3 linked regions of the Callithrix jacchus genome follow. The protein of the gene in region 2 interacts with the protein of the main gene of each other region in a pairwise test. Links are inferred from orthologs where the notes say so. Each region holds a gene or a part of one and is shown on either strand. Other genes may lie near its edges.

Region 1 (4,233 bases), about 60 Mb from region 2:
ATACTGAAATTTTTGCAAGGTCAGTGTATTCTGATTAAAAATGTACAGATTGTACGAACTTTGTTAATAGTATATCTCCTGCCACTTAAATTTTTAATTCTTGTAACTGAAACAAAGCCCTCTAAAAACCCTCTCCCCACTGGGTTTTCAAAAACAGCTTCAAGTGTTGCATTTCCAAATAAGAATAGCTCATAAGAATATCATCAGGACTCTGATAAAACAACTATTTTAGACTATTTTGTCATTTTTCTGTTTCTAAGCTTTTCTTCTAAGTTACATGGTAACATTCAGAAGAGGAAAAAATATATCAGGTACAATACTTGGCAGCTGGACATGTGTCAATTGTTGCCTGTAAACCTAATTACTGAAAATTAGAGCACACCACGGCTTGACCGTAGAGACAAAGACACTGCAGCTGAGCTCTGATTAGAAAATTCAACTTTTTATTCCTCCCGACTCCTGAATTAGTGGATGGTATTACATTAACTGTGAAATGTACATCCTGTCCCGGTGCCCAGGGCACCCCTTCCAAACAAGGAAAGGTCGTTTGTCAAAACTTGAAGCATTTGAAGGAAAAACATCCTCACCAGTAGTTAAGAAAATCAACGATAAAGTCAATTATTGAGGGCAAAATACGTGAAACCACTAATAGCAGTGTATTTACTACAAATAATAATCATAATAATGTGTTTACAAAGCTGTCTTTAAAAACAAAGCAAAGCAAACAAACCTCGGCCCTACTATGACTACTTTAAAATCCCCACCGTCACAAAAACATTCCAAAAACTAAGACCAAACCTCGACCCTACTTGATATCAAGAATGTTATTGGATTTCAGGAGTTTGTTCAAAGTACGTCATTTTGAGAAGTTGGATCCACTTAAGATATAAAATATGGCAACCAACTAGGTTTAAAAACAGTGAAATTTTGAACCCTTGAAAGCATAAAAGCTATAATTCTAGAAACCCGGCTCACGTAGGCAACATTATTGACCTGTTTTCCCCACCTCTCTGAATACCAACCTGCAGCGCAGTCCTTCCAAATCCATTTTGCGCATTGACGTTTACATTATTTTGCAACAAACTAGTAAGTTGCTGTAGGTCCCCCCTGGCAGCTGCGGACGCCAACTCGTTCCCCCAAGGCTCGGCCATTCTTTAGGGTCCTGACGATCGGGAAAAGATGAATTAGTCGTTTTTCTTTTTCCCCTTTCCTTTGCTCCTAACCAGGCTGCATGATGGCATCGGAGACTGACAGAAGGACTGGGATGGTTAATCTGGAGTAGAGCTTGGTAGTAAATACTAGTAAGATCTGCCTGCCAAAAGCCCGCCCCTAGATTCACACGTGATTATTCAGCAAAACTGAGCCATTGGAGAGGGGCTCCTCGCCTCGCTTTTTAGCTTAACCCCTATGAAGAATTCTGAGGACTCCACGGAGAGACACACAGACACACAAACATTCCTGGTTAATGACTCCGGACGTCAGATGTAGGCAGAGCTGTCACGTACCTACGCTACAGATCTCCGTGAGGAGTGTGTGTGGAGACTTAAGGGACTAGATCGGGGCAGAAAATACCGCGGAAGGCAAGACATTCGGGGGGAAGAAAAGACATTCACCCACCCTTGTTCACGGTGGTGACTTGAGCCGTGTGCGGCAGAACTGCAGGGGCAGGTCCTCCAGGGGGCTCGGTTTCCATCCGTCTCGCCGAAGGGGTAATCCTGGGTCCTCCGCTGCTGGGAGAGCGCCGCGGTGGCTGGATGCTGACGTGCTCCGGGGGGTTAAAAGATGATCGCCAAAGGCGAACGGGAGTAGCAGTTCCTTGGCCCTCAAGTTACAGGTCGTAACTACTGCCCAGTGCTCTGGACTTCTCCAGAAAAGCCTTTAGTCGCGTCTGGGCCAAGCAGTGAGCTAATGCCGCTCAGGAAAGCTCTGGAGCTCGCCAGCCAGGCAGCCGCAGCCCCGCCGAGCCTCAGAGGCCGTGGGAGCCGGGCTCGGCGCGCGTCTCCGGAGGCTGCCGGGCGTGCGGCGGGTCCCGGAGAAGCCCGTCATGCCGGCCCCGCCAGGTCCCGGGACTCCCGGCAGCCTAAGGGAGGAGGAGAGCGATGCGGGAAGCGTCTAAGGGGCCCGGGCTGTTGGGGCAGCTCGCGGCAGCATTGCGGCTGCACTGGGCAGCCCCCCGGGAACTTCCTGCCTACGACCGAGCTCGTTCAGGCTTTCTGCTGCAGGCACTCATTGAGCTGCCGCCGTCGCCGTCCTATCCCGGTTTTGTGGGGTCTCCGGAGTTGGGGAGAGTCCGGGAAAGCGTAGGCCAAGTTCTGAATAGAGGTAGTCGCCACAGTTCCAGGGCGCAGCCAGTCCCGCCGCCGTCTCGGCGAGAGCTCAGCAGCTTCAGCGCCCGGTGCCACTTCGCCAACCTCTCGCGGTCCCTGGCCTGTGCCCCTTTGCTGCGGACAGGGCAGCCGCCAGCCAGCTGTGCCCTGGAGACGAGCCTGGCAGCACTGCTTACTCCCTGGACGCACCGCTCCCAGTGACAGTTTCTTTTGTAGCTGATCCCCTCCTAGATCGCCGGTCCCTGCTCTCTTCACCCCTACAGGCACTCGCGCGTCGCCCCTTTTTTTGCTTTTTTCCTTCCCTCCCTCTCTTGCTGCTTTTTTCGCTGAAACAATTGCTGCTTCTGCTGCCTCTCAGAGACGGTGCCGGTTTCTTCTCCCTTTTTTCCGACCTCATCAGCTTTTTTTGAAAAGAAAAAAATTGAGCGCTTTTTGAGTTGAAAAACCCGCCCCCATTTTAACGGCAGAGTTTTAAGGAGGCTCGGCGGAGTTGCAGCTCCGCGGGAGCGGGAAGGCCGGGCACCGCCCACGCCCCGCCCTCCGCCCCGCTGGCGCTCGCGCTAGCCGCCTCGCAAGCTCCGCCCGCCCGGCCCAGCGCCTTCACTCCCGCCTCGCGTTCCCCGCCTCCTCCCGTCTAGTCTCTCGCGCCGGCTCCCGCCCGCGGGCTAGGCGGCCTGGCCCCAGCTGGAGCGGGGTTCGGCACCGCGAAGCCCGGCCTGCCTTTCTTCTGCTAGCGGGTTGGGTCTGCGACGCGAACCCCCCAGCTGCCTCGATTCCTATGGGGGCGAGGGCGGGGGGTTGTTATTTAAGACGGTCTAGAAGGGCCGCAGAGCCTTTGAGGCTCGCGGAGCTGGTTGCGGGAAGGCGGAGAGCTAGCTGGCAAAAAGGGAGTCGTTCTCCAGCTCTAGCGGGGCAGGTCGGCCCGCCTCAGAGCTCCCCCGCCAGGCTAGCAAAGTTCGTGCGGCCAGGCCTGCCTTCTGCTGCCGCTGCCTCCTCTAGGGCGCTCGCGCTCTGTAAACTCGGCTGCTTTGGCTGAGCTCTGGGCCTCGGCCGGCCTCGCACCTGCTAGATCCACGCAGACGGCTGCGGTGGGCAGAGGTGGCCCCGGGGGTGGAGGGAAAAATCCGGGCTGCCACTAAGCGCAGTGCTCACAAAAAGCAAGTCTTGTATAGACTGAATTTTATGAAAACTTAAGTAGGTAAGAATAACGAACTCTGAAGCCTTAATCAAGGACTAGAAACTGAAATAGTCCAATTATTGGAGAAAAAGGAGAAAAGCAATCAAATTTAAAGCAAAATTTAAAATAAGTCGTGTGAAGTGTTTTCTAACAAAGTCATTTCTTTGTTGCCTAAGTTCTCTCACTACTTAGAAGCGGCTTGGTTTTTCGGGGGTCTCGGGTTAGGGAGGGTGTCTAGATGTAAAGGAATGGTCTCTCTCCTAATCCTTTACTTAATCATCCAACACCAATTTTTATTACTTTTAACTTCCTCTTTTAGTTGTGCGAGATAGGTTAACTATTGCTTTCTATATTTTTATACTCTTAATCCAACAGGGTTGCATGATGCACCCAGTGGTCAAAATGAAACCAAGCAAAAAATGACAAGTCTAATTAGAACCGGCCTTTGGCAAGCGGATGCGCAAGCAATATCTGTACCCTTCTCCCTGAAGTACACAGAGTATTAGCAACAAGACACACCAGAAACATCTGGATAATTATGTAGCAGCAGACTGGCTGATAGAGGGAGAGTTGAAGCTGGGAAAAATCTGGCAGTGTTTTCTTTAACGTAATTGTTGAGAAAAAAACTAGTTATCTTCTTCTTCTTTTTTTTTTTTTTTCTTTGAGACGGAGTTTCGCTCTTGTTACCCAGGCTGGAGTGCAATGGCGCGATCTCGGCTCACCGCAACC
Region 2 (3,637 bases):
TGGGGCTGAGGCACAAGAATCACTTGAACCTGGGAGGCAGAGGTTGTAGTGAGTTGAGATTGTGCCACTACACTCCAGCCTGGGCAACAGAGTGAGACTCTGTCTCAAGAAAAAACAAAAAGAGAAAGATGAGAGGTCCTCAAAGAAACTTCACAGTGATTTTCTTCTGAATATTTGAATAATAAAAATTATTATTATTATTATTATTTTTGAGATGGAGTTTCACTCTGTTGCCCAGGCTGCATTGCAGTGGCACGATCTCAGATCAGTGCAGCTCATTGCAACCTCTGCCTCCCGGATTCAAGCGATTCTCCTGCCTCAGCCTCCCAAGTAGCTGGGATTATGGGTGCACACCACCACACTCAGCTAATTTTTGTATTTTTAGTAGAGACTGGGTTTCGCCATGTTGGCCAGGCTGGTCTTGAACTCCTGGCCTCAAGTGATCTGCCCGCTTTGGTCTCCCAAAGTGCTGGGATTATAGGCGTGGGCCACCGTGCCTGGATGAATAATAAAAATTACTTTATGTTTAACTAAACTCATGAAAGCCATATATTTTAATGCCATACTGAATACCAAACTATTTAATGCACTACCAACATAACAGGTACTTCTTATTTGTGCTCTCTCACAAAACTGATAGCACTTACATAGTTTAACATTCTTCCTTGTTCAACTAACATTAGAACTGTGCATTTCCCCATGCCATTAGATTCCTTTCAAAGGTCTTTTTTTTTTGAGATGGAATTTCGCTCTGTTACCAGGGTGGAGTGCAGTGGCGTAATCTTGGCTCACTACAACCTCTGCTTCTTGGTTTCAAGCTATTCTCTTGCTTCAGCCTCCCAAGTAGCTGGGACCTATAGGCACCTAGCACCATGCCCAGTTAATTTTTTTCTAAATATATTTTTAGTAGAGACAGGGTTTCACCATGTTAGCCAGGGTGTTCTTGATCTCTTGACCTCATGATCCACCCACCTCAGCCTCCCAAAGTGCTAGGATTACAGGCATGAGCCATCGTGCCCAGCATCAAAGGTCATTTTTAATGACTATATAAAATTCCATCATGGATAAACGTCTTAATTTTAGTATCCACTTTTTTCCTGTTGAGGTTTTTATCATTCCCAATTTTGCAGCCTCCAGACATATATGATACTGTAATGACAATTTCGATACATAAAACTTATATGTTTGGATAATTATTTTGGGGCAAAGTTAGTGAAAACATCTGAACTTACCAGCCTCAGCCAGTGCTGCAGCGACTTCATTCTGAGTTGAGTAGATGTTACAAGCAGACCAGCGGCACTGGGCCCCCAGGGCACAGAGTGTCTCAATCAACACCTGTGTAGAGGTGTAGGAAGACAGGGTGAGGAAGAGAAGGGCTACCCAGACATAGAGAGCAAACGTCAGCAAGGTAACAATACCTATCAGCTCTGCACCAACAGGCACTACACTGGGAAGTTACAGAAGGGTGTAATCCAGCAAGGTGGTGCCCTGGTACTGAACTTGACAGAGAACATAGATTTCTAGTCTTAATAACATCTTAAAACAATCATATGTTTGCAAATCTAGACCTTCCTAGGTCAAGTTTGCTAAAAGTGGGTTTGCTTATACAAACAAAAACAGAAAACCCCGTTATTGTGTTACTAGGGAGATCCTACTAATAAGATCCTCCGAACTCGCATTTGGAGGTTGGCAAGTTACGAAAAGCGAAACAAACAAAAAATCCATTTCTTTCTTCCCCTTGTCAGAAGTCCCTCTTTTCTTCCAAAAAACTCACCGCTGTCTGGGCCGTGATATGTGTACAGCCCACTATTTTAGCACCAGCCAAGGGCTTCTCCCCCTGAGCACGTTTCCTGAGTGAAATCAGAGCAGACATGTCTGTGAAAGAACAGAGGATTTGAGCTAGGTCTGCACTAGCAGTATCATCAATTTCTGCCCCAGAGCTGGTCTGGATCTGTTGAGATATGGTGAAATGAGGCAGAAAAACTTTGAGCCTATTTTCATGACAACTGGCAGCTTCAACAGCAGAGTAACAGTGGAGAGCTGTCATGCAACCACTTGGAGTTTCTCTCTTCCTCTACTGCTTCAGCTTTATATGCAGAGGGCTGAAGAGAGAATGAAGTAAATCCTCAAAACTGATCAAAATGAAGGGTGAGTCTCATCATTCAGTTGGGAAGAGAGAGAAGTAGTTAAGGCATTGGCTAACAGATTCCTATGTAGAATCATCAGACCAGGAAGACTACCCTCGGCGGAACCCACTGACTTCTGTTTTTCTATGTTGTCTTACGGTATCCTGTCAGTCTGTTTGGTTTCTCTACTGCCTCTCAGTATAGAACATGCCTCCAATGTGTAAACAACACAAGACTAAAGAAGACCTTACTGGGAGTGGCTGGACTAGAGAAACCAAGATTTAACTGTCAGTCATTTCTACTCTTTGTCAGCAGAGGGTGCTCAGGACCAAACAAGACTCTAGGTCACCACATCCTTAGCTTAAAACCCTTCCTAATCAGCTGCTTCTGGGAAATCTGGGTCTCTGCCATTGGCAGCTATAGTAATATCCCATATAACAAACTACCACGTAGTGATCTAGGACTTGCCAGCTCTGGCATGTAGATCTTTGAAGACGGTGGTGGTAGTGGGAGCGGGGAGGAAAACAGAAACTCTCTGTGTGTAATCACCACATGCTGAGAACAGGAGAAAGAGAGAACAAGAGTCCTGAGTCTCAAGTTCCATAGAGAGAGAAGTGTTTATCCTAAAGTCCATAATATAGTCTTTCTTCCTAGGATATTTTCAAGTCAGCTTTCAAGTCTTAAGTTGTTTGTGGATCTGACGGCCAACAAGAGGGTTGCTTCTGGCCCCCTAACCCACTCCCTTTCTTTACCTTGCTCTGCAATCTCAATCTCCCGGCGTCCAAATTCTGCCTGCTTGATGTTCTTCACACAGAAATTGCTGCTACCCTTGGAGTTGGTTTGCTGCTTCTCTCGGGGAGAAACCTCATCATCAGAGCTATCTGTGTAGGATGCAGCTAGAGCCAGGAAAGAAAAAAAAACAAGGATAGAAAAACCTCAGTGGCCCCAACTCTGCAGCGCAGTCCCAAAGGACTTTCATTTAAGTTAAGGGAGCTACCTTTCACGAGCCTCTCAGTTCTGCTCCTCTAGGTGGCATGAATGAAACTGTTGTGGATGCTTCTGTGTTACAGCTCTTTCACCCACCCTAATACTGTGCTATTAGTGCCTGTGATAAGAGACCACTGATTCTAAACCTGTACCAACTATAGTAATTCCGGATAAAAGAGGTACCTGGTCCCGTCTGGATTGGAAGCAGACCTGGCGAAAACGGAAGAATTAATTTAGGGCAGATAAGGAAAGCTATTTCTATAGATCACTGGTTCTCAAATTCAAGCATCTATCACAATCACATGGGAGGTTTGTTAAAATATGTATTACTAGACCCCATGGCCAGTTTCCCATTTGGTAGGTATGGAGTGGCGCCTAATAATCAGTATTTCCAGCATGTTACCAGGTGTTGCTGATGCTGTTAGTCAGAGGACCTCACTTTAAGAACCAAGGGTAAAGACAAAGTGATAAGATAGTCTACAAGGGATTTTACACTAGCTTGTGCTCAAGGAATAGAGAAAGAA
Region 3 (4,177 bases), on a different chromosome or scaffold from region 2:
TGATTGCACCCTGGACCTGGAAGGGCAAACATCAGCTGTAAGTCACCATAACTTGGCAGCTAGCAGGATCAAAGCTTCTGGACCACCTCCTCAAATCCCCAAACTCCAGCGGCCACCCTCACTCCCATATAGCCCCTCCTCAGGACCCAGCCTCTTCCACTCTTACATGCAAACCCACCTCCCGTATCCGTGGGTGCCAGATATGAGAGGTATTCAGGGGCAGACTCCAGTTACCGTAGATCTCCTCTGGGGGTTGAGTCAGGACATACATGAACCAGGTACAGAGACAGATAGGGAGAGAAGATGCTGCCTTGGCTGCACCCGGTGTCTGCACCCAGGACAGGCTCAGACCTCCAGGTCTCTAGACCTCCCCTTTTCCCCTGTGCAGACCCCAGAAGTGTACCCACCTTCCGGAGGGCATTTCCATCTCTCCAGAGCCAATATGGCTTTGGCTGGAACCAGAAATGCAAAGGCACTGGCCTGGAACAGAGGCAGCCTGGAGGAGAGGCAAGAGCAACAGGGGAGGTAGGAGTGGGGTGGGGCAGGGTGGGGAGGAGGGATATAGTTGTAGGGACATCGGGAAAGGAGGGCACAGAAAGAGGGACAGAGACACGAGGGACAAGGGCACATGGAAGTCATTGAGGCCCCAGGGAAGACCATCTCTAACATTTTGGTGGTTCAAGGAAGAAAACAAATGGAACCCCCAGCTCAAAACGTGCCCCTTTTCCTTCCTCCTGCCAGCTCCTGCACTGTGAGGAGAGAGCAGATGGCTGGAAGTGGCCAGCTCAGTTCTCGAATCCAAGCTCCTCACACATCTTCCCCTGCCTCCCACTGCCCAAACAGCTCAAATGCCACCAGGCCTAGGGCTTTGCTCTTGGGGCGTGGGGCCCCAGGAGGGTGGGCTACTGAAGAGGCCAGCACTGGCCTTGGGAGCCAGCTCAGTGCTGCCATTTGGGCAGTATTCAGAATAGGCCTTAAGAGAGGAGAGCCGGCTGGGTGCAGTGGCTCACACCTGTAATCCCAGCACTTTGGGAGGCCAAGACGGGCGGATCACCTGAGGTCAGGAGTTCGAGATCAGCCTGACAAACATGGAGAAACCCTGTCTCTACTAAAAATACAAAATTAGCTGGGAGTCATGGTGCATGCCTATAATCCCAGCCACTCGGGAGGCTGAGGCAGGAGAATCACTTGAACCCACAAGGCTGAGGTTGCAGTGAGCCGAGATTGCACCATTGCACTCCAGCCTAGGCAACAAGAGTTAAGCTCTGACTCAAAAAAAAAAAAAAAGGGAGAGCCAATGAGGGCACATTCCCTTAAATCTGCAGATGCCTGGTCTCCGAAGTGCACCTAGATCAAGGTGCCCAGGGTCAAGGCCTCTCTCTAAGGCTGGCCTGGGATAGGAGAAGCAGCTGGATGTAGATAGTGGCTTTTTTTGTCTCACCGGCATCCTCTGGGAGACCACCTGCTCCTGCTGTGTGGATCACAGTGGGGGGGGGGGCTGGGCAGCTCACCGGATGCCCAGGGTGGTCTGGATGAGAGTGGTGATGCCCACGCATGTGAAGATGGTGCCGATGAGCTGACTGACCATGTGTTGGTCATGGCCCACACACAGCGCCTCGGCCAGCAGGAAGGGCACGGCGATGGTGCCACTGAAGCATGTCAGGTAGTGCTGGACAGAGGGAGGGAGCAGAATGCATAAGGCAGGACCCCAGAGCTCCAGGGAGAGGGGACAACCTAGTGTCCTCACATCTGCATCAGCAAGCCTGGACCTGCACTGCCCGCCCAGTACTGGCAGTCCCACAAGAGATTCCCAGAGAGCTAGTGCTCACCACTCTGGAATTACTAATCTCTGCTCAAGTTACTCCTGTGGCTTCTGTGGAGTGGGCTCTGCTCTCCGTCACCAACGCTCCACCTCGAAAGCGTCACACGCCCCCAGGGAGTTCATCTTCTCTCAGAACCTGACCTCTTCCCCAGCCCTGCCTGCTGACAGCCACTGTGCTGACCTGTTTTCTCTTCCTGTTACCCAAGATACTCCCTGCTGGCCAGGGAGGGGCTGGAGGCCCTGGGAAGTGCACAGGGTGAGGGCAGGGAGGCCCTGGGGACCCACCTGGAAGCCCAGCAGGATGCACAGGTACCAAGGTGGCACGTCCTCGATCTTATACAACATGTCAAACTTGGGCTCTGTGGGTAGGGGCATCGGGGGGTCCCTGGTGGATTCATGCTGGGGGCAGCAGAGAGAAGTAGCTTAGGGTGGAGTAATGGGGACAGGCAAAAATCCATTCTGCCCTGGAATCCATCAGGTAGCCCAAGTGGCCATTCAGCAACTGAGAGTAGGGTCCCTGCCCTCCCCAGCAGTCTATCCACCCGGCTGCCAGTCGGTCTGGCCACAGTTGTCTCCCCCTTCACATTACTTCCTGCAGGGATGAGTCTACTGTGCCGGCTTCCAGAGCCCTCAGGACCTGGCATTCTAGCCAGGGAAATGGACCCCTAAGTCAGAAGTCTTGGGGACCACAGGAGAGGGGGCTGAGAGGGCTCGAGACTGTGGACAAGCCCAACCTGGTCCCACTTCTTTCCCCTAGAGATCCTTAGGATGTCACTGGAGGGGAGGTTGGGCCCCTCCTGAACCCCAACCTGAGTCAGCCAGTCCCAAAGCTGACGCCTCCTTTATCCCCACCTCCACCCATCCCCCAGTTGCCACATTCAGTTTGGGCCAGTCAGTCTATTGAGTTCATCAGAACATTTATCTCTGGCCTCCGGGGAAAAGGCCTGCACCTGCACAGGCCCTCCCACCCCCACCACCCCACCCCCAGTCCCCAGCACCTGTGTCCGGCCCTTGGGGTCCTCCTGGGCCCTCATCTCTGGGGCACAGGTTTGAGTTGTTCCTGAGGAGAAGAGGGGATGACTTTACGAAGGCCAAGGAGGAGGACTTTACTCCACATATCAGGCATTGTTCGAAGTAAATCTGTAACCAGATGCCCAGCTCCGGATTGCGAAAGGGGGGCCCATACAAAGGTAACCTATTAACTTTCACTAGAGTAGTAAAGGCCACCCAAGCCTCTGACACATGTGTTCTTCCCAGCCTGCATCTGTGCCTGGGTGCCGGACCTGTTCTTGTTTTCCAAGAGAGGGCCAGAGTCGAGTCGAGGGGTGAGGACCGGAAATTTACCAGGTCCCAGGTGAGGGGAGAGAAGAAGGAGTGGAAACCAGCATTTATTATGTAACACCCTGTATAAGGCCCTTCCTCACTTATTTATTTTTTTATTTTTTTGAGACAGAATCTCACTCTTGTTGCCCAGGCTGGAGTGCAGTGGCGCGATCTCCGCTCACTACAACCTCTGCCCCCTGGGTTTAAGCAATTCTCCTGCCTCAGCCTCCCAAGTAGCTGGGCTTATAGGCATGTGCCACCATACCCAGCTAATTTTGTATTTTTAGTAGAGTCGGGATTTCTCCATGTTGGTCAGGCTGGTCTCGAACTCCCGACCTTCAGGTGATCTGCCCACCTCAGGCTCCCAAAGTGCTGGGATTACAGGCATGAGCTACCGCACCTGGCCCCTTCCCCACTTTTTAGTAACCGATTAATCATTATCATCATCATCATCACAGTCATTCTTGTTATTGAGGAATGGCCTTGTGTCAAGAAACATGGATAAGCACTGTCCCGAGTAGCCCCTGTGCTGGGTGGTATTCACCCCTTTCACAGCAGAGGAAACAGATTCAGTAGATGTGGTTTGACACAAGCCAAGCAGATAGCAAGGTTGCAGAAATCAATCCTAAAATTCAAGTTGGTCTGAGCTGCCTTAACCCCATTACCACGCACCCCTCAGGGTCCCTGAGGCAGGCAGCAGATGGGCCCCTGCAGGTGGAGCTGCCTAGGCTGGCCCGGCCTGGCCTGCACCCTGGGTCAGGACACTGATCCCTTTCCCCTCCCAGCCATATAATTTCTGGGACCCAGTGCAAAGTAAGAATGTGGGGCCTTTGTTCCAAAAGTATGAAGAATTTAAAGACAGCAACAGTAGAGCATTGGATGGAGCATAGGGACTTTCTACGCATCGGGCCCTGTGTGGCTGCCCATCCCAGCCCAGGAAGGTAGTCCTGTGCTCACGCCGTCTCCCCTCCTCTCAGGCCCAGCCTAGCCTGGCCCTAGGGCCTGAGGATGGCAGAGGGGGACATGGGGTGG

What was found.
Region 1: the proteins of AHCYL1 (region 2) and CDKN2C interact in binary tests that used the Homo sapiens proteins (3 or more experiments, as listed by UniProt). The two-hybrid records come from large-scale screens. The link is inferred for Callithrix jacchus from reciprocal best matches to the Homo sapiens genes AHCYL1 and CDKN2C.
Region 3: the proteins of AHCYL1 (region 2) and SLC23A1 interact in binary tests that used the Homo sapiens proteins (3 or more experiments, as listed by UniProt). The two-hybrid records come from large-scale screens. The link is inferred for Callithrix jacchus from reciprocal best matches to the Homo sapiens genes AHCYL1 and SLC23A1.

The regions. Positions count from the first base shown.
Region 1 is NC_133508.1:87,839,283-87,843,515, reverse strand, and holds the start of CDKN2C (cyclin-dependent kinase 4 inhibitor C), read right to left. Parts: upstream 2,863-4,233; 5' UTR 1,618-2,862; intron 1,163-1,617; 5' UTR 1,152-1,162; coding exon 1,023-1,151; intron 1-1,022. UniProt on the Homo sapiens protein: Interacts strongly with CDK6, weakly with CDK4. Inhibits cell growth and proliferation with a correlated dependence on endogenous retinoblastoma protein RB.
Region 2 is NC_133508.1:147,860,528-147,864,164, reverse strand, and holds part of AHCYL1 (S-adenosylhomocysteine hydrolase-like protein 1), read right to left. Parts: intron 3,023-3,637; coding exon 2,879-3,022; intron 1,876-2,878; coding exon 1,775-1,875; intron 1,336-1,774; coding exon 1,233-1,335; intron 1-1,232. UniProt on the Homo sapiens protein: Multifaceted cellular regulator which coordinates several essential cellular functions including regulation of epithelial HCO3(-) and fluid secretion, mRNA processing and DNA replication.
Region 3 is NC_133503.1:37,764,004-37,768,180, forward strand, and holds the start of SLC23A1 (solute carrier family 23 member 1), read right to left. Parts: upstream 2,909-4,177; 5' UTR 2,857-2,908; coding exon 2,821-2,856; intron 2,222-2,820; coding exon 2,108-2,221; intron 1,670-2,107; coding exon 1,512-1,669; intron 497-1,511; coding exon 408-496; intron 247-407; coding exon 179-246; intron 17-178; coding exon 1-16.